Linked DNA regions of Macaca mulatta. The protein of the gene in region 4 interacts with the protein of the main gene of each other region in a pairwise test. Links are inferred from orthologs where the notes say so. Each region holds a gene or a part of one and is shown on either strand. Other genes may lie near its edges.

Region 1 (6,633 bases), on a different chromosome or scaffold from region 4:
ATCGTGCCTTTTCACTCCAGCCTGGGCGACAGAGCGACACTCCCTCTCAAAAAGAAAAAAAAAAGAAAAAAAGAACAGTGAGGAGACATGCAGAGGGATGGATTTAAGAGGCATTTATTTATTTAGTCTATAAAATTAACCTGGTCATCAAAGGATTTTATGGGTGACAAAAACTAATCCAAGATGACTCCAAGGTTTCTGGTTTAGGCAACTGTTGAACAGATAATTCACAGATGATAATCCCAAAGGCAGAACGGATATACAAAGGAAATAAAACATGAGAGAATTATGGTATTTGGTTCAGTTTAAGGAGCAGGGTGTTTAGGAGTTACAGGAGGCCAGAAGATGGAACCCTGGGGAAACACCAACATTTAAAGGGGCAGGAAAGGTAGAGAATAAGGGCGAAAGGATTACTCAACATTTTGCTCTCCAGGTTTGCCTGGCTCAGATCTATATAAAGAAAAGGAGCAGGGAATGAAGTAAAACTGTTACAGGAAAGGGGTCCCAATCCAGACCCCAAGGCAAGGTTCTTGGATCTCATGCAAGACAGAATTCAGGGCGAGTCCACAGTGCACAGCAAAAGCAAGTTTATTAAGAATGTAAAGTGGTGAAAGTACAGCTACTCCACAGACAGAGTAGGGTGTTCCCGAAAGAAAGAGAAGGAACGCATCCACCCTAAGTACAACACTTAGTTTATATATAGAATAAAAAAAGATCATGGGGACATGTGCTGTGCTACAAGGGTTTGTGATAAAGGATTAATTACTATATTATGTAAGAATCGATATCTTTATTTATTTATGAGACAGAGTCTTACTCTTGTCGCCCAGGCTGGAGTGCAGTGGTGCAAGCACGGCTCACTGCAACCTCCGCCTTCCCAGATTCAAGCGATTCTCCTGCCTCAGCCTCCAGAGTAGCTGAGATTCGAGGCATGTGCCAACCACACCCGGTTAATTTTTGTATTTTTAGTAGAGACGGGTTTCACCATGTTAGCCAGGCTAGTCTTAAACTCCTGACCTCAAGTGATCCGCCCGCCTCAGCCTTCCAAAGTGCTCGGATTACAGGCGTGAGGCACTGTGCCCAGTCCATTATTATCTTTAAAGCAAAATTAGGAATGCTTCTGTTCTCAAAATATCGAGATATCTGGACACTTCGAAGTCTGGGTCTGTTTAGTAAACATTATCAATCTGTTGCCTTAATGGTATACATCTAGAGGCTAGGAACACCTAACTTTCCGGGAATGCAGCCCAGCAAGTCCCAGCCTCATTTTCCTAGCCCTCACTCAACACAGAGTCGCTCTATTTCGAACCCCTCTGACATATTCTCTCTCAGATGTGAAAACTGCTGCAGCAGCTCCCTATTTGCAACACCGCACATGGAAATCACAGCAATGGACAGCCCTTCACAAAAGCTTCTGGGGAGGGAGGGCCTGGTGGCTCAACTCCCGTAATCCCAACCCACTGGGAGGTCGAGATAGGTGGATCCCTTCAGCTCGAGTTCTAGACTGGCCTGGGCAACGTGGGGAGATCCTGCCTCTATTTTTTTAAAAAATTACATATATATATATACACACACACGTATATATGCATACATATATACATATATATAATGCTTCTGCGTTGGCAATTCAGATGATTTGGCGAGTGTGTCTTTTTTCATTGCTAAAAACCTGTCACGTTGGCTCTCAGAGACTTGTGATGCCTGAAGACACAGGTAATGGGAAAAAGATCAGCATTCTGGGAAAAGGTTCCACAATTTTATTAATCATACACCATCTGTGTCCGCCCTTTTAGAGAAATGGGCGCAATCAGACAACGACCTCGGCTTTACACCTGTTCTCCATGAGGCCCTAGTTGTTTCCTACTGTAAGCCGCCCCAGAAAAGCTCCGCATCAATTAACCCACGGGAACAGCCCGGGCTGGATGATGCCCCTGGAATCCAGCCTCCCGCCGCGCCTCCTCCCCCGCAAGCTGTTCCTTCCTGCCTACCGGAAGTTCAGGGCTCCGCCCACTTCCGCAACTCTGAAGCCACCGCCGGAAACACCTGGCCTCAGCCAATAGTTAGCTTCCCAGGAATCGTTACCTCTGACCTCGGGGCTAATCAGAGACAGTGGGACGCACCCCTCGCGAGAGGTGAGGTTGAAGCTGCCTCCGCCATCTTGGAGATGGGAGACGGGCGATGGCTGTGGTCCTTCTGCTAATGCAAACAACAAAACGGGCACACTAGTCACCCCAGAGGGAGGCCACCATTACTGTAACTGTTGGCCAAAGCTACAAAAGAGCGAGGGTGTCCAACCGAGCGCGGCGACACTGAAAGCAGCTTCCCCTGCCTTCTGCGGCGGCAGAAGTGAAGTGCCTGAAGACCGGAAGGATGGTGCAGTCCTGCTCCGCCTACGGCTGCAAGAACCGCTACGACAAGGACAAGCCCGTTTCTTTCCACAAGTGAGGACCCTGCGCGCCTCGCGGGGCCGGTCTTAGCCAGGGTGGGGGCGCGCGACCGGCGGGGCCGGGGGCGGAGCCAGGCGCGTGTCCGCGCGAGGGGCGGGTGGGGTCTGGGGCCGGCCGCGCGAGGCGTTTCCCGCCGCGTCCTGCTGGGAACCGTCGCCCGATCGCGCGTTCTCGGCGCGCGTCTCCGCGGCGGTTGTTTCTTGCGCTCTCGGAACAGGTCCTCGTTGCAGGCTTCGCTCCAGGCCTCGGTTGACGAGTTTGGAGCCCGCGGGCGATGCCTATGGTGGCGCGGGTTTTGCCGCCACCAGGGTCACGAGCAGCCAGGTGTTGTAATAACGTCTTAGGGGTAAATTTGAAATATAAACAAAGGCCTTTCCCTTGTCGTGGATGGGAGGCCAGCATCGTAGCAATTAAGGGTTTTTTGGCTGGGAAATCCCGGAGAATTTTTGCCCCAAATCTCTAGGAACTAAGCTTTAAGGACCCTGAGTTTTGAAGAAAGCTTCAGGTACTGCCAAGATAAATCGTTATCTTTTCAGCACACAATAATGATAATATGGATAGTTACAACATGGATCATAATAAAATGACTCACACTGATCTTTATTTATTACGGCATTACCTGTGCATAGAGGAAGCTCTTTCGAAAGAAACTGCCCCACAGCTTTCAGAGCTGTCTTATCCAATAGGTAGCACAGTTAAGAGTGCTAGGATCAAAAATATTCTCTTGAAAATAGGAAAAAAAGTGCAAAGTTGCAATTACTTATGATAATCAAACGCTTGTAAAATGTGACATAACATTCAGCTGAATTTGTTTACAAATTTTAATTACATTTATGTTAAGTTTTCTTTGTAAGAATTCCTGACAACTATATGCAGATGATAGCTAAGAAATCAGATCCAGGGGTAAACTATACAAATTAGTCATAGGTAATTAGCTAATTATCTTTTATAATTAGGTAATTACAAAAGCAAAATGTTAAATATCCTTTCAATTTTTTTATTTTGGTGTGGAGCCATCTATGTTTACTAGGGGAGTGTCCATGCATTTTTTAAGTGTTTGATATCATGTGAGATGGACCCTATAGAAATAAGAGAGTGTAGAACATAGGTCTCCAGAGTAATGATGTTACCCCTTGGCGAAGGGGGTAGAACACTTACAGGATTCAGTTCAGGATATCCTAATATTGTCTCTTAATTTAATTGGAATTTCTGTAAACATGTTCTTTCGAAATGTAGGAAAAGGTCAGGTGATGGTAACAGGATTACATGTGCAGCTCCCCACCCACATTTCTGATGGCATGGCAGAAGGAATCTAAAATTATGGAAAATGTTTCACTGGCACTGGAAACAAGTTTAAGGAGGGTATTCACACGTCAGAAATAACTGTGTTTTTGGCCAGGCACAGTGGCTCATGCCTGTAATTCTCAGCACTTAGGGAGGCCTAGGTGGGCAGATCACCTGACGTCAGGATTCAAGACCAGCCTGGCCAACATGGCAAAATCCCGTCTCTACTAAAAATACAAAATACAGGCGTACGCCTGTAATCCTAGCTACCTGGGAGGCTGAGGTAGGGGAATCGCTTGAACCTGGGATATGGAGGTTGCAGTGAGCTGAGATCTTGCCCTGCACTCCAGCTTGGGTAACAGAGCCAGACTCCATGTCAAAAAAAAAAAAAAAAGAGAGAAATAACTGTTTCTGCTAGGTGTTAAACACATACGGATTGAATCAAAAGAAGAGCTAACCTGCATCTTATCCCTTATCTAAAAGAGCAGGTTTAGGGAGAGTAGATGGGAAAGATTTTAACAGAATCTCACAAACAGCTGTAAATTTGTGGTCCTTGTGCCAGGAGGCCCTAGGTACTGACTGAATTTTAGCAGCAAATGCTACCATAGTTTATGCTTACAGAGCCAGGAGGCCATAGGTACGGAATTTTACCAGCAAATGCCACCCTAGTTTATACGTATAGAGGCCATTTCCAGCTGAGATTTTCTTCTTCTCTTTTTGAGATGGAGTCTTGCTCTGTCACCAGGCTGGAGTGCAGTGGCACGATCTCGACTCACTGCAACCTCTGCCTCCCCGGTTCAAGCGATTCGCCTCAGCCTTCTGAGTAGCTGGGACTACAGGCGCGCAACACCACGCCCAGCTAATTTTTTTTTTTTTTTTTTTTTTTTTGAGACGGAGTCTGGCTCTGTCGCCTGGGCTAGAGTGCAGTGGCCGGATCTCAGCTCACTGCAAGCTCCGCCCCCCGGGTTTACGCCATTCTCCTGCCTCAGCCTCCCGAGTAGCTGGGACTACAGGCGCCCGCCGCCTCGCCCGGCTAGTTTTTTGTATTTTTTAGTAGAGACGGGGTTTCACCGTGTTCGCCAGGATGGTCTCGATCTCCTGACCTCGTGATCCGCCCGTCTCGGCCTCCCAAAGTGCTGGGATTACAGTTGTGATTACAGGCCACGCCCAGCCCCAGCTGAGATTTTCTAGGAGTACCACTTATCCCACCGTCTGCATAGTGGCAGCAGAGAGTGCTATGTTGTACAAAGAAAAGGGACTGTCATAAAGATCTCTTACTAGCAGAGTCAGGCTCTAGCATATTGTACATGGAAGAGAAAACTGTGAAACGTAAATTCAAAACCCCCTTCCTTTGTTTTTTTTTCTAATCCCCCCAGTTTACCAAATCCTTAATTTGGAAGAGTAAAACCACAATAAATTTAAACTCTCACTATCCCCGTTTACCTGGGCCTAATGGACATCCCAGTTGATTAGAAAATAAATACTTTTCTTTCATTATTATCTGCCTTTAATTCAAATTTAGCCTGTTCGTATTTGTCAGACTGATGCTAAGAGAACTAGAAGCCCCTCTTTCCCAGTACATAGATACAAATGTGCAATGTTTGTCTTCCTGTGCAGCACACAGAAAATTACTGGTAAAAATAGAATACAGTTTTTTTCTTTTTGAGACAGGGTATGGCTCTGTCACTCAGACTGGAGTGCAGTGGAACCATCTCAGCTCACTGCAGCCGTGACCTCCCAGGCTCGAGGAATCCTCCCACCTCAGCCTCAGCCTCCCAAGTACCTGGGCACATACCACTATACCCAGCTAATTTTTGTATTTTTTGTAGAGACAGGGTTTTGCCGTGTTGCCCAGGCTAGTCTTCAACCTCCTGGACTTAAGCAGTCTCTTGGACCTTGGCCTCCCAAGTGCTGGGATTACAGACATGAGCCACGGGCACATTTATTCTATAGTATGTATTTTACTTGAATCTTTTGGTGAACTCACTATAAAAAGTTAAACATTAATAAATGAGGGCCCAGCGCAGTGGCTCACGCCTGTAATTCCAGCACTGTGGGAGGCCAAGGTGGGCGGATCACGAGGTCAAGAGATCGAATCCATCCTGGCCAACATGGTGAAAGCCCGTCTCTACTAAAAGTACAAAACTTAGCTGGGCATGGTAGCATATGTGGTGGCAGGCGCCTGTAGTCCCAGCTACTTGGGAGGCTGAGGCAGGAGAATCACTTGAACCCAGGAGGTGGAGGTGCAGTGAGCCAAGATTGCGCCACTGCACTCCAGCCTAACAACAGAGCAAGACTGTGTCTCAAAAAAAATTTTTTTTAATTAATAAATGAGATAGATAACTAGAGCTAATCTTTAATCCAGTATGATAATACCATTGTAACATCTTTAATACCAATGTAAGATCTTTCCTACGTTGGAAAGTTTGGGTGCCTTTATTTAAAAAAAATCAGCACAGATAATTGAATTATGCCTTCTTCTTAGGTTTCCTCTTACTCGACCCAGTCTTTGTAAAGAATGGGAGGCAGCTGTCAGAAGAAAAAACTTTAAACCCACCAAGTATAGCAGTATTTGTTCAGAGCACTTTACTCCAGACTGCTTTAAGAGAGAGTGCAACAACAAGTTACTGAAAGAGAATGCTGTGCCCACAATATTTCTTTGTACTGAGCCACATGACAAGGTAATATGCGTTTTAAAATATTGGGTTGCTTTCTGTTTATCAAACTGATATGTTCATTGATTAAAATGTGGAAAATTCAGTTAAAGAGAATAAATGTGCCTGGAACTTTGTGTAGTTAACAGTGATACACTTCTGAAAACACAAAATGCGGTTTATTTAAGATAAATATCCTCACACTAAGAAACTTAGTCCAGCCCTTGTAACTTACTTAAAAATCACTC
Region 2 (6,393 bases), on a different chromosome or scaffold from region 4:
AAAAAAAGGCTTTCCTACTATGTGGACTGTGAAGCAGTTTTTACTTGTGGTGACCAGGTCTTAAAATAATAATATGATTTTTATTTTGAGATAAGATTGATAAAAATTCAGAATTCAGTACGAGTAAAATAGGGAAAGAGAGTTTTAAAAACACTATTCAAAATGTAGTGTTAAATATTTAAGATGAGCTTCTGTTACTGAAAACACAAAATGCAGTCTTACAAATTTCTTAATTAAAGGTATAAAGTTGGCCAGATCTACATCTTTCTGCCCAGGCCATTCAAATTAACATAGAAAATTATCTTCTGAATTAAAAAAAACTAAGAATGAGCCACTCCCCCCAAAAAAGTTCTATTTAAACTGTAAGAGATGGTGTGCCCCTGAAAAGGACACAAGTACATGCCCATTAATTTCTGTGTACAAAGAAAGGAGGCCCAGAAGTGAACATCTAATCTAGGTGTCTCATTTGTATGTTTCAATAATCTGGCGGTTTTCTTCTTCTTTCATTTCCTTTGTGGGCTATTGTGCCACAAATATACCTCCATTATCAAATTCAAAATTGAATCCTATGATACCATAGCCTGAGGAAAAGGAAGCATTGAATATCATTCCCAGTTTTAGACTGAGAAGATATTTAGGAAATGTTACTGTATATACACCACATGCAACATTAGTGCTTTTAATTTCCTTTTTACGGGTGCTATGGAGATTAATTTGCATGAGCTCATTTCAATTTCAGTAATAAGATCCAAATTTTGCATTAAGCTTTCCATCTCAAAAACAAACAGTTAAAAAGGACACATCTCTTATTCTCTTATTTTAAATGTTTTTTCTATACTTCTCTTTTACAGTCTCTGCATCTAATATTCACCTAAAAGCTTGACTATATATACCTGTACGTTCTAATTTGTTTTTTGTTTGTTTCCTGATTATCTCCTGGCTCTGCCAGGAAACTTCCTAAATTTCAAATGCTGTACAATCCAACAAAATACTAGAAATCTCAAAAGAAGTGTCTACAGATCCAGAAAAGACATTTGCTGAATTTCATACAATGTCAGAATTGGTCAACTATGCTCAGAAACATAGGACCAAGTGTTCCCTAATTTGAGAGGACAAATAAGTAACAACAGAAGAGAAAAAAACATAGATACTATATTTCAAATGATCCTGTTTTAATAATTGTCACTGAAAAACGAAAGTCCGATCCAGATACCAAATCTGTTTCAACAATAATAGCTAGAGACAAGAGAAAAATTTCTTTAAAGTTTTAAAACAGGTGGAAGAAGATCCAGAAATATTTATTCCAAGATTTGTAAGAGGGGATAAAACATGGCTACACTGGATGATCCTGAAGAAAGAGCACAAAACAATGGCTACCAAAAGGTGGCAGCACTCCAGTCAAAGACAGAGAGGACCAGTCAAGGGAAGAGGTCATGGTAACAGTTTTGGGGAATGCTCAAAATATACGACTAAATGACTTTTTGAAGGGCCAAACCATCATTAAATGGGCTTACTAACAGAATTTTTGAGAAAATTAGCCAAAGCATGAGCAGAAAAACCATTATCAGAGAGTTCTACCTAATCATGAAAAAGTTCTTGCTGTTGCATTTCACTGAACAAAGGGCAGTTTGGCAAAAGTTTCAATGGGAAATCATGAGGCGTCCACCTTACAGTCATGATGTGGAACCTGCTGACTTCTATTTCTTTCCTAGTATTAAAAATTCTGCAAACGGCACCCAGTTTTCTTCAGTTAATAATGGAAAAAAAGATTTCATGGAAATTGTTAAGTTCCCAGAACCATCAGGGCTTGAGGGACAAGGTGGGGGCAAGACAGTGCTTGAAAACTGTCTTGAAATTGATGGAGCAGATGTTAAGAAATAAAATCAAACGGTTTTATTTTGGTCTTTTAATCCCAGTTTTGACAAATGTTTGAAAGTCCCCTCACAAAACATCAGTCCTAGGTAAAGAGTTGTTATCCTGTATTGGTTCTTCTTTCTGTGATTTTATCTTGCTGTGTTATTTTCTGTTTTACTCCCAAGAAGACTCAGTCTGCTTTTTTTTTGAATCCACAGATACGGAAACTGATATAATGGTAGGCCAACGGTAGAACTCAGTGGGGTGTGTCGAGGCTGAAATTCACCTAATCAACCTCTGGGGCACAGCAGTCCACCTGGCGTGGACCGTCCCGATTGTCTGCATTGTGCTGACGGCATGAGTACGTATTGGGGCGGGGAAGCCCAGGAGCTAAGAGGGTCAGGGCTAGAGCCGTGAGTGTGGGCCTGCCGTGGGCCATATAAGGCCCAGCTCTGGCACCAGAGCTGCATTCCGTGTAGGACTGCAAACCGCAGAGGTCACTCCAGCTATGGCTCCACATCCCGAGGACTAGAAGCAGGCTTGCTCAGCGGTCTGCAAGGACCGGCGTTCCAGACCAAGTGGCCCGCTGCACTGAGGACTGAGCTTGCTCCAGGCTGTGGTGACTCCACGTCATGAGGCCTACGGTCTGCAAGGACCAGCGACCCGGAACCAGTGGTCCGCTGCTTCGAGGACCGAGCTCGCTCCAGGCTGTGACTCCACATCCCGAGGTCGCTGCCTGGCTTCGTGTCCCGCCGCCCCGAGGAAAGAGCCGAGACCTCCAGGACAGTGACGCCTGCACAGCTCTGGTGAGATGGCAGCAGGATCCATTACGCTGCACGCAGTGGAGAAGCTGCAGGTGTATCTGACCACTAAGATGGACCCGAAAAAGCTAGAGAAATATTTGCAGAAACTCTCCGCCTTGCCCATGACGGCAGACATCCTGGCGGAGACTGGAATCAGAAAGACGGTGAAGCGCCTGCGGAAGCACCAGCACGTGGGCGACTTTGCCAGAGACTTAGCGGCCCGGTGGAAGAAGCTGGTGCTTGTGGACCCAAACACCGGGCCTGATGCACAGGACCCCGAGGAGAGCGCTTCCCGAAAGCGCTATGGGGAGGCTCTTCAGGACCAGGAAAAGGCCTGGGGCTTCCCAGAGAACGGGAAGGTCCCCAGGAGCCCACCTGACAGTCCTGAGCACAGACGGACAGCACACAGAACACCTCCGGGACTCCAGAGACCTCACAGAAGGTCTCCCAGTCGCGAGCACAGAGCCCAGAGAAAGCGCCGCAGAAGGGCCCCAGCTGATTCAGGCCCCCATCGGGCCCCTCCATTGCACACCGCTCCCCTCCCGACGCCCGAGGGCCCTGAGCCGGCTGTGCCCGGGAAGCAACCCGGAAGAGGCCACGCTCACGCCGCTCAGGGCGGGCCTCTGCTGGGTCAGGGCTGCCAGGGCCAACCCCAGGGGGAAGCGCTTGTAAGCCACAGCAAGGGACACAAATCGTTCCACCAGGAAAAATGCCCCTTGTGTGCCCAGGGCGATTGGCACTCCCCTACTTTGATCAGGGAGAAATCATCCTGGGCCCGCTTAAGAGAGGAAACCCCAAGGATGCCCTTCCGGGAAAGTGCCAGGGACAGGCCGTCCTCGGGTGACGCCAAGAAGGACAAGGAAGGGGGACCAGCTGGCAGCAGCCAGCATGTCCCCGCCTTGGTGGTGGCTCCAGACGGTCACCCAAATAGGCCTCATCACAGACACTTGAACAAGAAGATGCCCAGTCTAGATGGCCCGTACCCAGGAAATGGGACACACCGCCTGTCCTCTGAGGAGAAAGAGCAGCTTTCCAACGACCAAAAGACTCAAGAGGGGAAGCCACCAACGGCTCATGTGGGCAGAAGGTCCATGAGCTCCCTCTCTGAGGTGGAGGAGGTAGATATGGCTGAGGAATTCGAGCAGCCCACTCTGTCATTTGAAAAATACCACACTTATGACCAGTTGCAGAAGCAAAGGAAAAAGACTGGGGAGTCTTCCACCACTGCACTTGGAGATAAACAAAGGAAAGCAAACGATTCAAAGGGCACTCGTGTGTCCTGGGATTCAGCTAAGAAATTGCTTCCTTTCGAGGAAAGCCAGTCAGAGAGGCTGCAGGCAGCCGGTGCTGATTCTGCAGGGCTGAAAACGGTGCCCAGCCATGCCTTCTCAGAGCTCTGGGACCCCTCAGAGGCCTGGATGCAGGCCAACTACCATTCGCTATTGGATTCTGACTCCATGACCTCCCAGGCAAAGCCAGAAGCACTCACTGCACCAACCTTCCAGGAGGAAACTGCTTTCACTGGAGGCAGAGTGAATGCTAAGATGCAGGTGTACTCGGGCTCCAGGCCTGCCTGTCAACCCCAGGTGCTGACGCTGCGCCAGCAGTGCATCCGGGTCCTTAGAAACAATCCCGACACCCTCAGCGATGTGGAAGGAATCCCCTACTGGTATCTTGAACCCGTTCTGGAAGGGTGGACACCTGATCAGCTGTATCGCAGAGAGAAATACAATCACGCACTCGCTGGGGACACAGATGAATTATGGAGGATTCATTGTCTCCAGGACTTCAAGGAAGGAAAGCCACAGGAGCAAGAGTCTTGGCGGGAGCTGTGCCTGCGGCTTCAGGACACCCGAGAGCAGCGACTACGAGTACTGACAGCAAATATCCGATCTGCACGTGAAAACAACCCCAACAGCAGAGAGGCAAAGATGATCTATTTCAACTCTGTGGCCAAGACGCCTTATGATGCTTCAAGGAGGCAAGATAAGTCTGCAGGAGCTGCTGAACCTGAAAATGGAGAGCTCAAGCTAGCCCCAAAGCCTGGGGTAAGCAGCCACGTTCCCTCCAGCAGGGGCAGTGACAGTGGTGGCAGAGACAGCAGCAGCAGCAATGTCCTTCACCAGCTCCCTGAGAAGAGGGCCAACCCCTGCCTAAGCAGCAGCAATGAGCGCGTGATGCTCGCGGCCAAAACTCGGAAACAGGCTGCCAAGAAAGTGGCCCCGTTGATGGCCAAGGCAATTCGAGACTACAAGAAAAGATTCTCCCCACGATGAACTCAGGACTTGCCTTGCAGGTAAAATCTGGAGGGAGGAGGACCAATGCAAAGTCAATGCGGGTTGGGGAATGAAACTTCCAATGGACACCAGAACCTTTAGCTTGGTGCAAAGTTGAGCCTTTGAATTCTGTAGGTGTCACGTGCTGGACCTGTGATTTTACCTCCCACACCCAACCACTACCTCCCAGCCTGGAGGACACCTCAGAATTCAGAAGATATGAACACATTCGGAACAATTATCTTTTGGTTGTTCACTGATCGTTTTTAAAATAACACCCTAGTTGTAATCATAAATAAGGAAAAAGATGTGAGATTCCCTTTTTCCTTTCTTTTTTTGGAAATCATCAAGTAGATAAGAACTTATTAGACAAAAATTCACAAGCCATTAGGTGACACTGATAACTCCAAATACATAAACTCTTTATTGTCGTTGTTGTTGTTGTTTTAATAAAACGCTGGGCATGATCCTGTATTCATGACCCATCCTCCTTTGGGAGGCCAAAGAAAGCAAATCGCTTGATCCTAGTAGGTGAAGACCAGCCTGGGCAAAACAGGGAAACCCCACCTCTGAAAAAGATATCAAAATTAGCCTGGCATTGTGGCACACCCCTGTGGACCCAGCTTCTTAAAGGGCTGAGGTGGCAGGATCGCCTGAGCTGGGCAAGCAGAGGTTGCAGTGACCTTTCATCATTCCACTGCACTCCAGACTGGGAGACCGAACCAGAGCATGGCTCAAATAAAACTGCTATTACTTAGAAACAGGAACTATCAGATTTCATAAATGAATGGTAATCACTGGTAAATTTGTCAAGCAAAAATAGTTTCCTGAAGTAACACATAGAATAATTCACAATCTTTTCACCCATAAGCCCTATGAAGGAATGGAAACACCGTAATCAGTTTATTTAGATTCTGAATCAAAAAGTCTAAAGCTGCCAATAAGACTTTCTGATTACCATGAGATGACCAGGTTAACAACCTGCAGTTCAGATCACAGGGGCTTCTGCAAGCTATATTGAACCTTTACATTTTAACAGAGGGCATTTGTTGGCCTCACGCAGGCTGATAATCAAAAGAATGTGTGCCAGCTATGACACACACACACAGATAAAAAGCCAGGAAACAGAGAAACAAGTAAACTGCATTTAAGGAAGACAGGGAAGCATTCGTTCTAGGGAAAGGGAGTTGATCCTATCAGTCACCATACAAAACTCAAAGAAGGCCGGGTGGGGAGCTTCACACCTCTATCCCAGCACTTTGGGAGGTTGAGGCTGGTGGATCACATGAGGTCAGGAGTTCAAGACCACGACGACCAATATGAAAAAATCTCATCTCTACTAAAATAATCATCATTCTAGGACATTGGCAGCTTTGCCAGTATTGCACTAGGGTCCTCTTCGTGAGGGAGCTGGAAGACTGGAAACACAGCACATTTACATATTTGGCCACACACCGAGG
Region 3 (5,831 bases), on a different chromosome or scaffold from region 4:
CCCCGGCCTAGGCCCGCCCCCCGCCCTGCCCCCGAAACTCGCCCTTCCTTGCAAGGCGCATGCGTAGCGGCGACGCAAGAAAGGAGCGGAGTGCGCGAAGCCCGGTGGGCGGGGCGAGCGGGGCCTTGAGGAGAGGCGCCGAGTCTGCGCCGGAGCAGCTCTCTCTGCGCGTGCGCGACACCTTTTCCGCTGAAAGATTACCCCCCTGTGCGGTTCTTGCTGCCTTCTGGGAGGTGGAGTTCCCGGAGCGAGCGGTGGGGTGGAGCTCAAGTTTTATCAGGGCCGCGAGGCACCGGTGGTCTGGCGGATGGGAGCCTCCCAAGAGGCAAGCGGCTGATAAAGTATTTTGGCTTTGCCAGGTTTTATGCGCTCCCTCGAGGCGCGTCTGCTGCTGCTGCTGCTGCTGCTGCTGCGCACCCAGCCAGGTCCATTTTGGAGCCCGCCCAGAGCTTTGCTGACTCACCCCGGTCCCTCTCAGAAGCCCCCTGCTCAGTGCTTTGCTTTCGCGGGTCCTCAGACCCTACGGCTCGTCAGCCTGGTTGCCAGCGCCACCCGCCTCCCCGCCGCGACTTGCCTCTTCACACTGTATAATTCAGCCGACCTTTGTGAATTAAGCCAATTCAGTTCTTCCACCACTCCAGGGCACGACCAAATCCACCGCCAAAGGGCAAGAAAACCAGGACAATGTGGCCTGTATAAATTATTCCCTACATACACCCAAAGCAGACTTCTCCGCACTCAGTAAATGCCAGTAAAAGGCTATTTCCTTTCACCGATTCCCTCAGGAAGTTAGGAATTTCCTCCAAAATGACGCTACTGCTTTACATTTAAATCGTAAATATTCCTCCGATGGTTCTCTAAAAGTGGCACCGAAAACTATATTACCCATTCACCCCTTTGGATTAAACACTGCCATCATGAGGAGTCAATCCGGATACTGAATCATTTTACAGGAAATACAGGTAAAGAGGAATATGTTAAGTGACTTCTTGGGGACAACAGGCAAACTACAGAACTCTGGTTTCTTCGACAAAATTGCAAGACCTGAAGGGAAACATCGATTTTTAAAATTTGAGAAGCATTAGCCAACCACAATGAACCTTGTCTGGAAAAATTTGGTAAGACACCTGGTTAGTGAACACAGATTGGATGTGATATTAAGGAACAGGTCACACATTGATCATAGTTGAAGTTCGGTGATGAGACATGGAGATGCATTTATATATATATATATATATATTTTTTTTTTTTTATTTGAGACAGAGTTTCACTCTTGTTGCCCAGGCTGGAATGCAATGGCGCGATCTTGGCTCACTGCAACCTCCACCTCCTGGGTTCAAGCCATTCTCCTGCCTCAGCCTCCCGAACAGCTGGGATTACAGACATGCACCACCATGCCCAACTCATTTTGTAATTTTAGTACAGACAGGGTTTCTCCATGTTGGTCAGGCTGGTCTTGAATTCCTGACCTCAGGTGATCCACCCACCTCGGCTACCAAAGCGCTGGGGTTACAGTGTGAGCCACCGCACCCAGTCCATTGTATTATTCTGCTTGCAAATCTTTCCTCCTACCACCCACTCAGCAAGATTTGGGAAGCATGGGTAAATGATGGAATTAAAAGGTCAATTTCTTAGGATGGCTATAAGACCAAACGTAAACTTCACTTAATCTATACCTAATCTAATTAGAAAACATCTGCCTAAGAATTAGAGAAAGAGCTGGGTGCTGTGGTGGCGCGTGCTTGTAATCCCAGCTACTCCAGAGGCTGAGGCAGCCTCTGGATCCTAGGCTAAAGATCTCTTGAGCCTAGGAGTCCGAGGACCAGGGGGAATAAAAAAGAGCTAGGGAAAGATCTACCCCCAGGGTACTGGGGCCTGCTGAGGCTGCTTGCCCTTGAGGCTTTCTTAGAGGAGCCAGAAAACCTGGGCCCAAAACCCACAAGGATAGGGGCTTGGATGGCCCAGGAGACGCCTAACTGGGACAAGACAAGGAAAGAGCTTTTAGAGTATTCAGAACAGAAAACTGCGGGGAGAGCAACACCAGTTCCCTCCCCACGTAGCTCCCACATCAACACTTAGCCAGCAACTCCACTCTACAGAGTTTATTGGGTTTATAACTGGACGAAGTCACACGTGTACAAAATGAAGCTCACACTATCCCAAAGCAGACTAGGGACTGAGGGCTGGGGATCCGTTACTGGCCTTTGGGAGAGCTCTGAGGTGAGGGGTGCAACCGACCCTCCCACTCCAGAGGTGCGGCCACAGGCGTGGGAAGGAAAGGGAACCCACCTGGCTTTGGTCACAGAACTCAGAGCCTGGCACTAGGCCAGGACAGACAGGTGGAGGGGAGAGCAGGAGCCTCAGAACTTCCCTGTCCAGGGAGCCCAGGGGCTACTCCACCAGTCCCACTTGCAATGTGCTTGGCCCAGACCTAGACTCAGGGGCTGGTGCAAAGGGAAGGCAGCAAAGCAGGAGGGAGGAGACACTGATGTGTGGTGGGAGAGGGAGCGGCACCTGGACCTGTTGAAGAGGGTGGGTGGGGAGGTGGGCTAGCTGCCTAGTGGCAGCTAGCAGCGAGTTTCATAAATGCCGCTGCGGCCAATGTAGCGCACCCATTTGATGACATCATGGTCGCTGTAGTTCAGCTTCGGTTCAAATACCTTCAAGTAGCGCACCTTGAGGCCAGAGGGCGCAAATGGCACCTGGGCAAGGACAGCTCGTTAGAAATGTGGCCTTCCTCTTACAGCTGCTCTCCTCTGGGAAGTCCCGTTGCCCTGCTCTACTTCATCTCTACTACAGGTGTTTGAATGGCTGGGGTCCTTAAAGAAGCTGGGGTGGTGAGGGACCCTCTAAGAGGTGGCTGAAGAAGAAAGCCCTGCCAGTGACACCCGGAATCAGTTCCTTTCATCAGCAGGAGACAGCAACCAATGAACTGCTTTAGAACATACTTATCCTGCTCAATATTATGAACTTAAAAATAAGGTGGAGAAAATTATGTCTAACATGCACAAAGCAAAGTCAGTCCATTATCCTGTCTGTAAGTAAACTTTGTGTCTTACCTGGCATTTAAACAATCTAAGTTTTTCGAAAGAACTGTGTTAGGACAAGCTAAGAGAAGTGAAAGATTTGCCTCACTATGAATAGTAACTTCTACTAAGAGGCTTGAAAGGGGAAGAATGGATCTATGAATTAAAGCCAGTTCTTTCTAGGCCTCAGTTTCCTCACCTCTAAGGTGCAGCGGTTTATCGGAATGATCTCTAAGAGCTTTTCCAGCATACCCTGGCATGACTTTAGGCCCCTCCTCTGCCATACCTCAAAGTTCATGGAAATGGGGGGTCGAGCCCATTTCTTCTTGTCGTTGGTAGGCAGAAGCTCAATCTCTGCGCTGATCTGCGATTCCTTCATGCCTGCCATGCGCTTGATCCTAGGAACACAGGGACAACAGGCAGCCCATTGTAGCTTGGAGAAGTTTCAAGGGCAGTTGCCCATTTTAAGGAGCACGCCCAGGAGCTTGCAGGAGGTGCCACAAGAAGTGGTCAGGACCCTGCTAACTACTTGCTATGGAAGCTTGGGTCTACTTCTTTAGGACAACAGGATGCAGTTTCTGCCTAGACACTTGGGCATGCTATCTTTGCTTTGTCAGCTTCACAGATACATTACAAAGGCAAGCAGGGAAATGCCAAAGCATCTTAAAAAATAAGCACGTGCATGAACCCAAATGCAGGCGTGTACATACTCACATGGAGGCATAAAGGCTGACAGTACAAGCAGAGGCTCCTAGAAAAGCAAAGAGGCACACTCCCCCACCCCTCATTCAGAAGGATCAAAGGTGAAAACAAGAGGGTACACTGGGATCTTGAACCTGCTGTGGCCTAATGAAGGAAAGACTCACTTCCACACGATGGCATTCTCGCTGGCCTTGTACTTGGCCTTCCCCTTCATGCAGATCACCTGCACCCCACTTGTGTTCAGTGGGGTTGGGATCCTCACCTAGAAGTGACACACCTGTCAGGGAGCTCTGTCAAGCTGTGACATCAGCTGCCTTTATTCCTAGGGACAAGTTCTTCCTCCTCCCCAAGCCCCCTGTCCTCACCTCAATCTTCTGAGCCAGGAGTGAGGGTTTAAAGTTGGACTTGATGACCACCTTGACCTCCAGTTTGGTGCGTCCCACTTCTCGCACTAGCGGGATCACCCGGAAGGGAAGGATGATGTCCTTGGTTGTGCGATACCTTAAGGGATGGGAAGCAAGGTTACCAAAGAGCTGACCCACTTCCTCTCCCCAATCTGCCAGCAGCACTGGCTGCCTCCTCACACCCCAATGGCACCTCATAAGCTCAAACTCTCCATCTGGTGGGATAAAGCTGATGCTGCGTTCAGAGTCAAACTTGCTGAGTCGTACACACTGGTGGAAGGTGCAGTCATCAATGGCAATTGATTGCTTCCCACTGCAAGCAGGGGCAGAAGAGGAGGTCTCATTGGTACAGGAGAATGACAGGTGTCACGCTGGGAGACCACTCCACCCCAGGCTGGCACCAGAGACTATGAAAAGCTGCTAGAATGCAGCTTTCTGACTCAGAGGTCTGCCCCAGAGCTTGGGATGAGAGGGAAACCTTGTAAACTCATCTCTTGGGGGCCCTGCTGCTTGGGACCTGGGTGTTTCAGGCACACTGGGCAGAGGAGGCTATCAGTATGTACAGAAGAGGCCTTGGTCCTAGGGACCAAAAAAAGGGGCTTGCTCTGAGGACAGTCCCCTCATCTCTCTTAGCACCAATGTCAAGAGCGAACAGCCAGGCTTACCGTCAGGAACAGAGTTTGCAATTACAGTGGGAATGAAATCCAGAAGAAACTTGTGGTTCACTAGACCCCACCGAGCCCTCCAAGAGACACCCTTTCCCACCAGCTCTCCTGCCTCAGGCACCTCTTGCTTGTTTCATCAGCTGTGCCTTTGCCCTGCTTTTCAATAACAATCTTGTCATTCATCCCAAACTTGCATTCAGGCATGCCACTCAGGTAGCTCTTCATCACCACCCGGCCCGACACATGGGCACTCAGCACCTGCCCTGATGATGGAACAGATAAATGGGGAGCAGCAGAGTCAGGCAGGCAGACCCAGGATCCTGCCCTGGTCCCCCTCCAGCTTTGTTGTGAGAGGGACCTCACCTTGTGGGGACATGAGCAGGTTCACACTCTCCAGCACATCCAGGAAGAGCTCATTCCGGCGATACTTGATACCCTCTCGCCGCCAGCCAATCTGCCCAGTCACCTGGCTGGTGATCTGTGACTGCTCTTCTTTTGTCTACATGGGAGCAGAAACAAACAGCAAGAGCCTCACTCCCCTCTCCCTTTAATCATCCTGTCTCTATCCCCACTCCACCCTCATTCCCCATCCCTTCTAGTCCCCACCTGTAATCCATTTTCCCCTATAAGCCCCAAAGGGCAGGGCCTGGAGAAACAAAGCAAAGCTGCAAGGGCGGAAGCTAAGGGAAGGGCTTACCTGATGCTGGAGGCCGCAGGGCCAACGAGGTGCCCACATGAAGTAGCAAGGGAGGCAGAAAAGGAGGAGAAAGCTATGAGGCTTGGATCCTATAGGAGAGGGCCCAAGCTCTCTCCTCCTGAGGAACACCAGGCCTCAAGACCAGGCCTCCTCCCCCAACCCTCAGTGCAAAAGGAAACTGCTTGAGCTGTATTCCTGGTAACAGAGATGCTTAATTGGCTGCTCCTGCAGTGGGAGGACCACATAGAGCAAAATAGGCCTGCAATCATGGCAGGAGGCTCAGGCCAGCACTTCCTGTTATGGGAGGGCTTATGAGTCAGCTCAGACAAGGCTCAGG
Region 4 (5,861 bases):
TCTAGGGTTCCAAGGGTCCTGCGGCTGGGGCTCCTCTCCTCACATGGCCTCTCTCTCTAGGGTTCTGGGGGTCCTGCCGCGGGGGCCTCCTCTCCTCACATGGCCTCTCTCCACAGAGAAGTACAACTTCCTGGGTATCTCCATTGTGGGCCAAAGCAATGAGCGGGGAGACGGAGGCATCTACATTGGCTCCATCATGAAGGGTGGGGCTGTGGCGGCCGACGGACGCATTGAGCCAGGGGACATGCTTTTGCAGGTGTGCTGGGGTGTGGCCACCGAGCTGCCCTGCACGGGAGCCCTCAGCCTCTCCCACCATGCCTCTGACCCACTTCCCCTGCTTCCAGGTGAATGACATGAACTTTGAGAACATGAGCAATGATGACGCCGTGCGGGTGCTGAGGGACATTGTGCACAAGCCTGGGTAAGTTGCCAAGCAGGTTGCAGGTCCTCAGTTCTCTTTTTTTCTCTTTTATGTTTTGTTTTGCAATTTTAATAAGTAGTAAGGCGTGGTGGCTCATGCCTGTAATCCCAGAACTTTGGGAGTCCGAGATGGGTGGATCACCAGAGGTCAGGAGTTCGAGACCAGCCTGACCAACATGGTGAAACCCTGTCTCTACTAAAAATACAAAAATTAAGTGGGTGTGGTGGCGCACGCCTGTAGTCCCAGCTAGTGAGGAGGCTGAGACAGGAGAATCACTTGAACCCCAGGGGGCGGAGGTTGCAGTGAACCGAGATCACACCGCTGCACTCCAACCTGGGCGACAGAGCGAGACTCCCATCTCAAAAAAAAAAAAAAAGTGCTGAGACATAACATTCAAAGTACGTGAAACAAATGTGTGACGTATCAATACTAGAGTGAATATCCATGTCACTGCCACTTAGACCATCAAATAGGAGATTGCTGATATTCTAGAACTTCCTCCCCAGATGTCCCTTCCTGCTCCCAAATGCCTCCCTCCCCCAGGGGTGGTCACTCTCCTGACTTCTTTGGCTATCACCATAACAGAGGAGAGCTTTGCCTCACTCGATAGTTACCATTCTTGCATGTATCCTTGAACAGCACGGTTTCATTTTACCTGTTTTTGGTCTTTCTGTGAATGGAATTGTACAGCGTGTACTCTCTTGTCTCATTTGGCAGTATGTTTTTAAGAGTTTTCCATGTTGATGAGTCATCCGCATTGTGGTGCCTTCCACCCTCACCTTCTCCAGCCCAGCCGCGATGTGCTTGCTTCTCCTTCTCTTTGTGTCTCTTAATCCATCCTTGCTTCAGGCCCCCACTCTCCTGAGGCCTCCTCTTCCCCTGCGCCCTTGACTGGACTTCTCTTCCCCGTAGCCCCATTGTGCTGACTGTGGCCAAGTGCTGGGATCCCTCTCCTCAGGCCTATTTCACTCTCCCGAGAAGTGAGTGACACTCAGGGAGGGGGCCTGAAGTTGGGGGTGGGGGCTGGCCAGGAGGCTGGGGCTGGACCTCTGGTCATGGGGAGTGGGTGGGAGGAGGGTCCAGGCAGAGGTGGAACAGGAGGCTGAGTCAGGGAGGGACTGGGCTGGCTTTTGGGGACTGAGAATGGGTCATTTTGGTGCCATCTTTGTCCCAGATGAGCCCATCCAGCCAATTGACCCTGCTGCCTGGGTGTCCCACTCTGCGGCTCTGACTGGCACCTTCCCAGCCTATCCGGGCTCCTCCTCCATGAGCACCATTACATCTGGATCCTCTTTGCCTGATGGTGAGCCACCAGCCCACCGCATCCCACCCTCCCAGCAGAAGGCTGTCCTGCAGTGGTCTGACCCATTGCCTTTGTGGGAGTGATCCCTGACTCTCATTCCCTGTGGTCTCCTCTGCCAGGCTGTGAGGGCCGGGGTCTCTCCATCCATACGGACATGGCATCGGTGACCAAGGCCATGGCAGCTCCAGAGTCTGGACTGGAAGTCCGGGACCGCATGTGGCTCAAGATCACCATCCCTAATGCCTTTCTGGGTACGGCTGGGTCCTGGGCAGGTGGCTGGAGAAAGGGAGGAGGAGGCAGCCAAAGCCGGGAGTGGCACAGGCAGAGGCGAGAGCAGGAGTTGGAAGGAGAACCTGAGGCCTTTTTCCACTGTGGATGCTCCCAGGCTCGGATGTGGTTGACTGGCTCTACCATCACGTGGAGGGCTTTCCTGAGCGGCGGGAGGCCCGCAAGTATGCCAGTGGGCTGCTCAAAGCGGGCCTGATCCGACACACCGTCAACAAGATCACCTTCTCTGAACAGTGCTATTACGTCTTCGGAGACCTCAGTGGTGGCTGTGAGAGCTGTGAGTCCCTCTGCCCCAACTCTGGGAGTGTGGCTTTGCCTGCCTTGTTCTGCCTCTCCAACCCTAGACCTAGCCCAGAAACTGCAGCCAGGGCCACGATGGATGGTCGAGCAGCGTGTGTCCCGCACTAGGTCCTGCATTGGCCGAGGATCGTGGCTGGCATCCATCCATGCGCTGCTGGACAAGCCACGCGCCAGGTGCAGGACTGTGTCCACCGGGGGAAGGTGCACATCCTCCTGAGTCCCACAAAGACATGGGCTAGTGGTGGCCCTGGCTGTGCCCCTGCCCTCATGGCAGAAGTAGATGGGAGTTTCCTGTCAAGAGTCCCCTGTGAACCCCTGTTTTGAGCCCCATCGTGGGTGGGTCTGGGCTCTCCATTCCGTGTCTTGGGGCCTTAGCCTCTTGAAGCAGTGATTTCTTCCTCACTTCCCTTGTTTTCCAGACCTAGTCAACCTGTCTCTCAATGACAACGATGGCTCCAGTGGGGCTTCGGACCAGGACACCCTGGCTCCTCTGCCTGGGGCCACCCCCTGGCCCTTGCTGCCCACTTTCTCCTACCAATACCCGGCCCCACACCCCTACAGCCCGCAGCCCCCACCGTACCATGAACTTTCATCTTATACCTTTGGTGGGGGCAGTGCCAGCAGCCAGCACAGTGAGGGTAAGTCATCCCCACATACCTGTACGGCCAGGGTCTGAGGGTGGATCAGAGGGCAGCCAGGGAGGAGCCTGGGTGAGGACTTAGTTGCCCCTCCCCTCCCTCCACAGGCAGCCGGAGCAGTGGGTCGACCCGGAGTGATGGGGGGGCAGGGCGCACAGGGAGGCCCGAGGAGCGGGCCCCCGAGTCCAAGTCCGGCAGTGGCAGTGAGTCCGAGCCCTCCAGCCGAGGGGGCAGCCTTCGGCGGGGTGGGGAACCAAGTGGGACTGGCGATGGGGGCCCTCCTCCATCCAGAGGCTCAGCTGGGGGTGCCCCTAATCTCCGAGCCCACTCGGGGCTCCATCCTTATGGACCACCCCCTGGCATGGCCCTCCCCTACAACCCCATGATGGTGGTCATGATGCCCCCACCCCCACCTCCAGTCCCTCCAGCAGTGCAGCCTCCGGGGGCCCCTCCAGTCAGAGACCTGGGCTCTGTGCCGCCAGAACTGACAGCCAGCCGCCAAAGCTTCCACATGGCCATGGGCAATCCCAGCGAGTTCTTTGTGGATGTTATGTAGCCCACTGTGGGGCCAGGCTTGGCCTGGCGCTCCTGGTGTGTGACTGGCTGTCCTGGCCATCATGTGCTTGCTCTTACAGTGCCTGGGCTCAGCCTAGCAGCTGCTGCCATACAGGAGATTGTGGCCACTGTGACTCTCACCAGCAGTGCCTGGTTCCTCCCCCTTCCCTCGGGTAGACAAGGGACCTTTGATTATTTTTAGCTTTGTTTTTTTAATAAGTCTTTTTGGGGGTTAAAATAGAGTTTCTTACATTTTTGGGACTTTTTAAATAGGCATTTTCTCTTTTATATGAAAAATCCCGTCCGTTGGGCCCCTTCTAACCCCAGAATGTGACCTCCTCCTCCAGTTACCCATAGCCTTGCCCTGTGCAGGTTTGGGGGTGGTCAGTGGTACCCTGGGGTTAGGCACCCTAGACAGCAGCCTGAGGAAGCTGGGAGATTTGGGCCATGTAGCTGCCTTTGTTACTCTATTTATTTTAGTCACTTGTATAAAACACCAAATAAAGCAATAGAGGCAAACTCCCCACGCCTCTGGCTCCTTTCTTTGGGAGGGAGGCAGGCAGCAGAGGGAAAGAACGGACACACAGGAGCAAAGCATGACTGGTTAGAAATTTTTATTATTTTCGAGGCAGTAAGTGCTCTTGAGAGCAGGCACAGTCCTGGGAATACTAGGCCCCCTCCGGGACAAACCAGGGCCCTAAGGAGAGGGGCTTTGGCTTGAGGAAAGGCACATAACCGGGCCAGGCCCTGGCCAGGAGTATTCAGAAGCCAAGTGGGTTGCTGGTGACCACACCACCCCGCTCCACCAAGGCCTTGGAGATGCTTTTGAAGTTGCGGTAGAGCTCATGCTGCCGGGGGTCAGACTGCAGGGCGGCCATGCCCTCTCGGATCCGGGCTGCAGCCTGGGGAGAGGGAAGGAGGGTTGGGCCTGCACCTCTAGCCCTCACCTGAGCTTAGCAGCCCCGAGTCTCACCTCGATACACCAGGTGTCACAGAGCATTTTCTCATGCTGGGCCGTGTGGTGGCCCTCACTCAGGGATCTTGAAGCCCTGGCAGGAAGCAGGAGATGAAAATAAATCTGGGCCGGCTGGGATCCAGGCCCAGGCCCCCTGCGGCTCAGGCATTCCCCGCCTGCCTCCTCACCTCGAGAGAACCACCACCATGGCATAGAGGTCGATGGCCCCGTCTGCCAGCCGCTGCAGCAGAAACTGCTCATCTGCCGGGTAGGTGGGGTGGGGGTGGGGGCATTAGTCTCAAGGAGAGGAAAGGGAGGGGCGGAAGGGTGTAGAGCTCACTCACTGACAATCCCCTTCTTGTGTTTTATCAACTTGGCCTCCACCACAGTGGCAAACTGCTCCAGAGCCTGTACTGCCTGAAGAGATGGGGACAGTGCAGGGCTCAGAGGGGCTGTCGGCTACAGTCCCTGACGCAGGCTCTCCTGGACCCCTGGCCACTTACCAGCTCACCGCTGCGACTCAACTCCGGGTGGACAATTCCACTGAGACTCAGGCCGCTGCCCAGCCCTGCCCGCCTGAGAGGAAGAGGGAGAATGACTGGTTAGTTGTCATACACTGCCCTGCCCTCCCCTGGCCCTGACCCTAAGCCTACCGCCTTAGCTGTTTGCCTGCCTCTCCCAGCAGGAGGCCAGCATTCCCAAAGGGATTCTTTAGAGCACTGCCAAGCCCAGAGAGCTCCTTTCCTTTGTCCTATGGGGAAGAGGGTCCAGCAGTCAGGACTCACTGTCCTCCCCACCTCTACCCCCACCCAATTCTCCCTCTTACCATACAGCCCTGCAGAGCCACAAACAGCCGAAGGATGTCATTTGTCCCCTCAAAGATTCGGAAGATGCGAAGATCTCGGAGCACACGCTCTACTCCAGGTTCCTAGCACAGGGCCACACAAATTATATGCCCCTGCTGAGATGTGCCTACCCACCCCTGGCCCAAACGAGGCTCAGAAGACCGTCCTGTACCTTCATGAAGCCCATACCCCCCATGATTTGGATGCATTCATCTGTCACCTTCCAGGCTGCCTCCTAGGGACAAAGAACAGATGAGACTGGTTGTGGGAGCTGAGCTCCCAAACTGGACTCCCTCCCAGCATGCCTGGGACCTCACCGAGCCGAAGATTTTGCTGATGGCGGCCTCTATCTGGAAGTCCGTTGATCCCTGGTCCATGTTAGCACTCACCATGTAAGCCATGGACTGAGGTTGCATGGTTGGGACATGGGAAGGAAAATTGCAAAGGGCTTTGTCAGACTTGGCTTCATCACTCAGATCTCCAAGATTAGGGATGACCTAGCTTGTTAGGTCAGGCAAATAGTTGTTCTGGGTCAGTTCATCAGGCGCTTCCAGGT
Region 5 (5,960 bases), on a different chromosome or scaffold from region 4:
TGTATTTATTTGAAGGAATGGTACAAATCAAATAACTTAAGTGGGTGTTTTGGTACAATTTATAGAAAAGGCAAAGGAGACCCCAACATGCATGCACTGCCTTGGTGACCAGGAAGTCACCCCATGGCTATGGGGAAATTAGCCTAAGGCTTAGCTTTCATTATCACTGTCTCCCGGGGTGTACTTGTCAAAGAGATATTCTGCCAAGCCAGATTTGGGTGCCCCCATCTTGCGCAAGTTGGTCACGTGGTCACCCAATTCTTTGATGGATTTTACCTGCTCATTCAGGTAATGTGTCTCAGTGAAGTCACACAAATGGAGGTCATTTTGTTGGTGGCCAGTTTGTGCAGTTCCAGTAGTGACTGATTCCCATGTTTTTCCAAATGTAATGCACACCCCATTGCATTCAGCCCGCTCTCCCAGTCATCATGGTCTGGTTTCTTGATATCCTGAAGGAAGATTTGGCCATCTCTTTGGCTCTGCATCTTCATTAGTTTCTCGGCATGTTCCATCTCCTCATGAGACTGGTGAAGAAAGTACTTGGCAAAATTCTTCAAAGCCACATCATCATGGTCAAAGTAGTAAGACATGACAGGTAGATGTAGGAGGCGTAGAACTCCAGGTTGATCTGGCGGTTGATGGTGGTAGTTCTGGCTCACCTGCGAGGGGGACGCAGTCGTGGTGGCAGTGGCTGCGTGGCAGTGACTGCATGGCGCTGGACTGGCGACGGGGGCCTTGGGACCGTCAGAGGGCCCAGTGAGGAGGTGACAGAGGGCTAGCTATGGGCGGCCAGCCGGGGTGGGGGACAAGAGCCCGGTTCCGTCCAAGCACTGTTGAACCAGGAAACCCCGGCGACTCTCCGCAAAGAATGTCTCATTTTTTCTTTTTAAAATAAAAAAAAAATAATAAAATTTTGTACATGAATGAAGTCCTTGGGGATCTACATCTATAAGACTTGTTTCTTTTTTTTTTTGAGATGGAGTCTCTGTCATCCAGGCTGGAGTCCATGGCACAGTCTCGGCTCACTGCAACCTCTGCCCTCCGAGTTCAAGCGATTCTCCTGCCTCAGCCTCCCAAGTAGCTGGGATTACAGGCGCCCGCCACCGCGCCTGGTTAATTTTTTGTATTTTTAGTAGAGACGGGATTTCACCATCTTGGCCAGGCTGGTCTTGAACTCCTGACCTCATGATCCACCCGCCTCGGCCTCCCAAAATGCTGGGATTACAGGCGTGAGCCACTTTGCCCGGCCTCTTGTTTCTTTTTTTTTTTTTTTTTTTTTTGAGATGGAGTCTTGCTTTGTCGTTCAGGCTACAATGCAGTGGCGCCATCTCTGCTCACTGCAACCTTCACTTCCTGGGTTCAAGCGATTCTCCTGCCTCAGCCTCCCAAGTAGCTGGGATTACAGGCATGCACTACCACACCTGGCTAATTTTTGTATTTTTAGTAGAGACGGGGTTTCACAATGTTGGCCAGGCTGGGCTCGAACTCCTGACCGACCTCAAGTGATCTGCCCCCCTTGCTCTCCCAAAGTGCTGGGATTACAGGCGTGAGCCACCATGCCCACCCTATAAGACTTGTTTCTGCTGCCTCTCATGCTCAGTGGCTTGTTTCCATTTCCTTGTGTGTGTCTAGTATTCTTTAGTATTTGAGCCCATGCTTAGAGCTCAAATCTGTTTTTTTTTCTTACCCCACTTTGGAGATTTTTTTCTCATTGGAGATTTTGCCTTGCTTATTGACAGCCCAACAATACATTAAAAATTTAATAAGTATCTAGTTAAATTATAGTGGGAACATCTCTCCAAGTATTTCATCTGCCAAGTCTATATATAGAAATATCTGGTCTTATTGTGAAACTTGCCCCTTCTCTTTTTTCCTCTCTCATTTAACAATATATTAGATATCTTTCTATGTCATGATCTCTTTCTTTTTCATGGCTGGGAAGTATTCCTTTGTATGAATAGATAATAATTTAACCATTCTACCGTTGCAGGACATTAAGTTGTTTCCAGTTTTTTTATTATGAAATTACAGTAAACACATTGATATGTATGTGTTTGTGCGTTTCTGCTAGTATTTCTGTAGGATTGATTTCTATAAGTGGCATTAGTGGTTGATGAGATTTTGATTAAATACTGTCAAATTGACCTAAATAGGCTATGCTAGTTTATACCTGTACCAGCAGTGACTGAAAATACCCATTTTCCTGTGCCTTCCTTTTTGACTGTAGATATTATTGATCTTTTTAATTTTACTAATTCAAGGAGAGAAAATTCATGTTTCTTTTAGAATTTGATGCATTGGTTATTAGGTTAAGCATATCTTCATGCATTTATTGGACATGTATTTCTTTTTTCTTTTTTTTTTTTTTTTTTTTTGAGACAGGGTCTCTGTAGCCCAGGCTGGACTGCAGTGGTATGATCATAGCTCACTTCAGCCTCGACCTCCTGGGCTCAAGTGATCCTCCCACCTCAAATTCTAGAATAGCTGTAATTTTAGATTACAGGTGCATGCTGTCATGCCTGGCTGATTTTTGTATTTTTTGTAGAAGTGGGGTTTTGCCGTGTTGCTCAGGCTGGTCTAAACTCCTGAGCTTAAGCAATTCTCCTGCCGTGGCTTCCCAAAGTGCTGGGATTACAGGCGTCACCCACTGTGCTCGGCCCTTGGACATTTATTTCTTCTGAAAATTGTTCATTTTTCTTTCCTTTTTTATTTTTGAGACAGAGTCTTGCTCTGTCATCCAGGCTGGAGTACAGTGGTGGAATCTCAGCTCACTGCAACCTCTGCCTCCTAGGTTCAAGCAATCCTCCCACCTTAGCCTTCTGAGGAACTGGAACTACAGGCATGCACCACTGTGCCCAGCTGATTTGTGTATTTTTAGTAGAGACGGGGTTTCACCATGTTGCCCAGGCTAGTCTCAAACTCCTGGGCTCAAGCGATCCATTGCCTTGGCCTCCCAAAGTGCTGGGATTACAAGTGTGAGCCACTGGCACCTGGCCATTTGTCAGTTTCTCTGTTGAATTGTTTCTTATTGATATAGTAATATACAGTAGTCCCCCCTTATCTGTGGTTTCACTTTCTACATCTGAAAATATTAAATGGAAAACTCCAGAAAAAAACAACTCATAAAGTTTAAATTGGTCACTATCCTGAGTCATTTGGTGTAAACTTGTGCTGTCCCACCAGGAACATGAATCCTTCCTTTGTCTGGTGTATCTGTGCTGTATGCGCTACCTGCCTGTCCGTCACTTAGTTGTCATCCTGGTTATCAGATAACTGTTGCAGTTTGCAGTGCTTGGATTCAAGTACCTTTATTTTATTTAGTAGTGGCCCCAAAGTGCAATAGCAGTGATTTTGGCAATTAGGAAGGCTAAAGAGAAGCTGTAAAGTGCTTCCTAAACGAAAAGATGAAAGTTCTCAACTTAAAAAAAACTTTTCAAATCCTATATTGAAGTTGCTAAGATCAATAGTAAGAATGAATCTTCTATTGTGAAATTGTGGGGAAGGAAAAAGAAATTCATGCTAGTTTTGCTGTTGTATTTCATACTGTAAAAGTTACAGCCACAGTTCATAAGTGCTTAGTTAAGATGGAAAAGGCATTAAATTTATGGGTGGAAGATGTGAACAGAAATGTGTTACGTTTGATGGCAGTCAGGTTCAGTACTATCCGTGGTTTCAGCCGTCCACCATACTTAGAATGTATCCCCCTAGGACTACTGTCTGGTTTGTGTTGCAGACATTTTCTACCAGGCTGATTTTTTTTCTTCTTTTCTTTTTTTTGAGAAGGAGTTTCACTCTTGTTGCCCAGGCTGGAGTGCAATGGCGCGATCTCGGCTTACTGCAACCTCTGCCTCCCAGGTTCGAGCGATTCTCCTGCCTCAGCCTCCTGAGTAGCTGGGATTACAGGCATGTGCCACCACAGCCGGCTAATTTTGTATTTTTAGAAGAGATGGAGTTTCACCATGTTGGTCAGGCTGATCTGGAACTCCTGACCTCAGGTGATCCGCCTGTCTCGGCCTCCCAAAGTGCTGGGATTATAGGCATGAGCCACCGTGCCTGGCCTAGGCTGATTTTCAATGCTGTCATTTTCAAGAAATCATGGTATGTTTCTCCATTTCTTCAGATCTTTAAAAAGCCTCTATTTTAATGAATTTTTACAGATTTCTTCTTATATGTCTTTCATGTTTCTTAAGTTTATTCCTAGGTATTGAATTTTTTTTTAACTGTGGAAGTAGGATTTAAAAACTGTTATATTTTCATTTTTGGCATGAGAGAAAGCTAGCTTCTTTCTTTACATATCTTGTACCTGACTACTTAACTCTTAGTTCTATTTTCTGTATATTCTTCCCTGTAAGTTTTCCCATAGTTACCTTTGTTGTGAAAAGGAGGAAATTATTTTTCTTTCTCCTTTCTGGACTAAATAGTCTCTTGTTTTTAGGGCTCTGGACCTGGGCTTGTGCTATTAGGGCTATGGTTGAATAGCAGCATGGGATATCATTTTTGTGGCCTTGCAAGGGAACATAACCACCAGACATAATCTTATTTCTGTGGGAAATGTTGTTCTAAATGCCAAACTCCAAATTACAAAAGACCTTTTGAATATACCTCATTCAAAAAGAACAAGATTTGGGCTGTCTTTAGATTGTGCACTGTGTTAAAATTACAGAATCTGTTTGAATTTCAGGAGCGTGAGGATCATCCCCGGAGAGGACGGGAGGATCGGCAGCACAGGGAACCATCAGAACAGGAACACAGGAGAGCTAGGAAAAGTGACCGGTACAGACACCGGGGCCATTCCCACCAAAGGAGAACGTCTAACGAGAGACCTGGGAGTGGGCAGGGTCAGGGACGGGAGCGAGACACTCAGAACCTGCAGGCTCAGGAAGAAGAGCGGGAGTTTTATAATGCCAGGCGACGGGAGCATCGCCAGAGGAATGACATTGGTGGTGGCGGTAGTGAGTCTCAGGAGTTGGTTCCTCGGCCTGGTGGCAACAACAAAGAAAAAGAGGTGCCTGCTAAAGAAAAACCAAGCTATGAACTTTCTGGGGCACTTCTTGAGGACACCAACACTTTCCGGGGTGTAGTCATTAAATATAGTGAGCCCCCAGAAGCACGTATTCCAAAAAAACGGTGGCGTCTCTACCCATTTAAAAATGATGAGGTGCTTCCAGTCATGTACATACATCGACAGAGTGCGTATCTACTGGGTCGACACCGCCGCATTGCAGACATTCCTATCGATCACCCATCTTGTTCAAAGCAGCATGCGGTCTTTCAATATCGGTAAGTAACATGGAGGAAGAAACTCTAATGTGAGCAGAAACAATTGCTCAGTTAGTTAGGATTACTAAGATTTTTGTTCATACATATACAGAAGAATCCCATACCCCTCATATCTAAAGAGTATTGTTAATCTAACTTCCCTTTAAATAATTGTTTACATATTTATAAGAACATTATACTTTTAATCTATTTTTTGTTTTTTTGTGACAAGGTCTCACTCGGTCACCCAGTCTAGAGTGCAGTGGAGCAAAGACAGCTCACTCCAGCAACCTCTTGGGCTCAAATGATTGTCTCCCACCTTGGCCTCCTGAGTAACTGGGACCATAGGCATGTGCCTCTGTGCTCTACTAATTTTGAAACTGGTTCTTGATAGCTTGCGTGGGACATCTGTGATGATTCTCACAACAATCCTGTGAGAAGGATAGGACCGGTTTTTGGTTTTTTGTTTTTGTGAGACGGAGTCTCCTTCTGTGCCCAGGCTGGAGTGCAGTGGCGTGATCTCAGCTCACTGCAACCTCTGCCTCCTGCGTTCAAGCGATTCGCCTGCCTCAGGCTACCGAGCAGCTAGGAATACAGGCGCACGCTGCCACACCCAGGGAATTTTTGTATTTTTAGTAGAGACAGGGTTTCATTGTATTGGTCAGTCTGGTGTCGAACTCCTGACCTCGTGATCCACCCGC

Evidence for each region.
Region 1: the proteins of DVL2 (region 4) and THAP1 interact in a two-hybrid assay, tested with the Homo sapiens proteins (2 studies listed by BioGRID and IntAct). The two-hybrid records come from large-scale screens. The link is inferred for Macaca mulatta from reciprocal best matches to the Homo sapiens genes DVL2 and THAP1.
Region 2: the proteins of DVL2 (region 4) and ELOA2 interact in a two-hybrid assay, tested with the Homo sapiens proteins (2 studies listed by BioGRID and IntAct). The two-hybrid records come from large-scale screens. The link is inferred for Macaca mulatta from reciprocal best matches to the Homo sapiens genes DVL2 and ELOA2.
Region 3: the proteins of DVL2 (region 4) and AP2M1 interact in a two-hybrid assay, tested with the Homo sapiens proteins (2 studies listed by BioGRID and IntAct). The two-hybrid records come from large-scale screens. The link is inferred for Macaca mulatta from reciprocal best matches to the Homo sapiens genes DVL2 and AP2M1.
Region 5: the proteins of DVL2 (region 4) and SNIP1 interact in a two-hybrid assay, tested with the Homo sapiens proteins (2 studies listed by BioGRID and IntAct). The two-hybrid records come from large-scale screens. The link is inferred for Macaca mulatta from reciprocal best matches to the Homo sapiens genes DVL2 and SNIP1.

The regions. Positions count from the first base shown.
Region 1 is NC_133413.1:44,940,030-44,946,662, reverse strand, and holds the start of THAP1 (THAP domain-containing protein 1), read left to right. Parts: upstream 1-2,150; 5' UTR 2,151-2,370; coding exon 2,371-2,441; intron 2,442-2,567; exon of another isoform or gene 2,568-2,721; coding exon of another isoform or gene 2,722-2,771; intron 2,772-6,216; coding exon 6,217-6,412; intron 6,413-6,633. UniProt on the Homo sapiens protein: DNA-binding transcription regulator that regulates endothelial cell proliferation and G1/S cell-cycle progression.
Region 2 is NC_133423.1:45,343,393-45,349,785, forward strand, and holds ELOA2 (elongin-A2), read left to right. Parts: upstream 1-2,665; coding exon 2,666-4,933; downstream 4,934-6,393. UniProt on the Homo sapiens protein: SIII, also known as elongin, is a general transcription elongation factor that increases the RNA polymerase II transcription elongation past template-encoded arresting sites.
Region 3 is NC_133407.1:96,316,119-96,321,949, reverse strand, and holds the end of AP2M1 (AP-2 complex subunit mu), read right to left. Parts: intron 5,501-5,831; coding exon of another isoform or gene 5,495-5,500; intron 5,297-5,494; coding exon 5,161-5,296; intron 5,061-5,160; coding exon 4,919-5,060; coding exon of another isoform or gene 4,910-4,918; intron 4,446-4,909; coding exon 4,326-4,445; intron 4,230-4,325; coding exon 4,094-4,229; intron 3,991-4,093; coding exon 3,893-3,990; intron 3,425-3,892; coding exon 3,313-3,424; intron 2,703-3,312; coding exon 2,568-2,702; 3' UTR 2,094-2,567; downstream 1-2,093.
Region 4 is NC_133421.1:8,709,851-8,715,711, reverse strand, and holds the end of DVL2 (segment polarity protein dishevelled homolog DVL-2), read left to right. Parts: intron 1-116; coding exon 117-256; intron 257-344; coding exon 345-421; intron 422-1,333; coding exon 1,334-1,401; intron 1,402-1,595; coding exon 1,596-1,724; coding exon of another isoform or gene 1,725-1,742; intron 1,743-1,804; coding exon of another isoform or gene 1,805-1,843; coding exon 1,844-1,975; intron 1,976-2,109; coding exon 2,110-2,289; intron 2,290-2,420; coding exon of another isoform or gene 2,421-2,486; intron 2,487-2,731; coding exon 2,732-2,950; coding exon of another isoform or gene 2,951-2,971; intron 2,972-3,034; coding exon of another isoform or gene 3,035-3,057; coding exon 3,058-3,506; 3' UTR 3,507-4,028; downstream 4,029-5,861. Other genes in the region: ACADVL (very long-chain specific acyl-CoA dehydrogenase, mitochondrial), read right to left, coding at 4,267-4,407, 4,479-4,554, 4,649-4,721, 4,805-4,877, 4,964-5,036, 5,114-5,211, 5,287-5,388, 5,478-5,540 and 1 more.
Region 5 is NC_133406.1:203,253,275-203,259,234, forward strand, and holds part of SNIP1 (smad nuclear-interacting protein 1), read left to right. Parts: intron 1-2; exon of another isoform or gene 3-1,141; intron 1,142-4,681; coding exon 4,682-5,280; intron 5,281-5,960. UniProt on the Homo sapiens protein: Required for pre-mRNA splicing as component of the spliceosome. As a component of the minor spliceosome, involved in the splicing of U12-type introns in pre-mRNAs. Down-regulates NF-kappa-B signaling by competing with RELA for CREBBP/EP300 binding.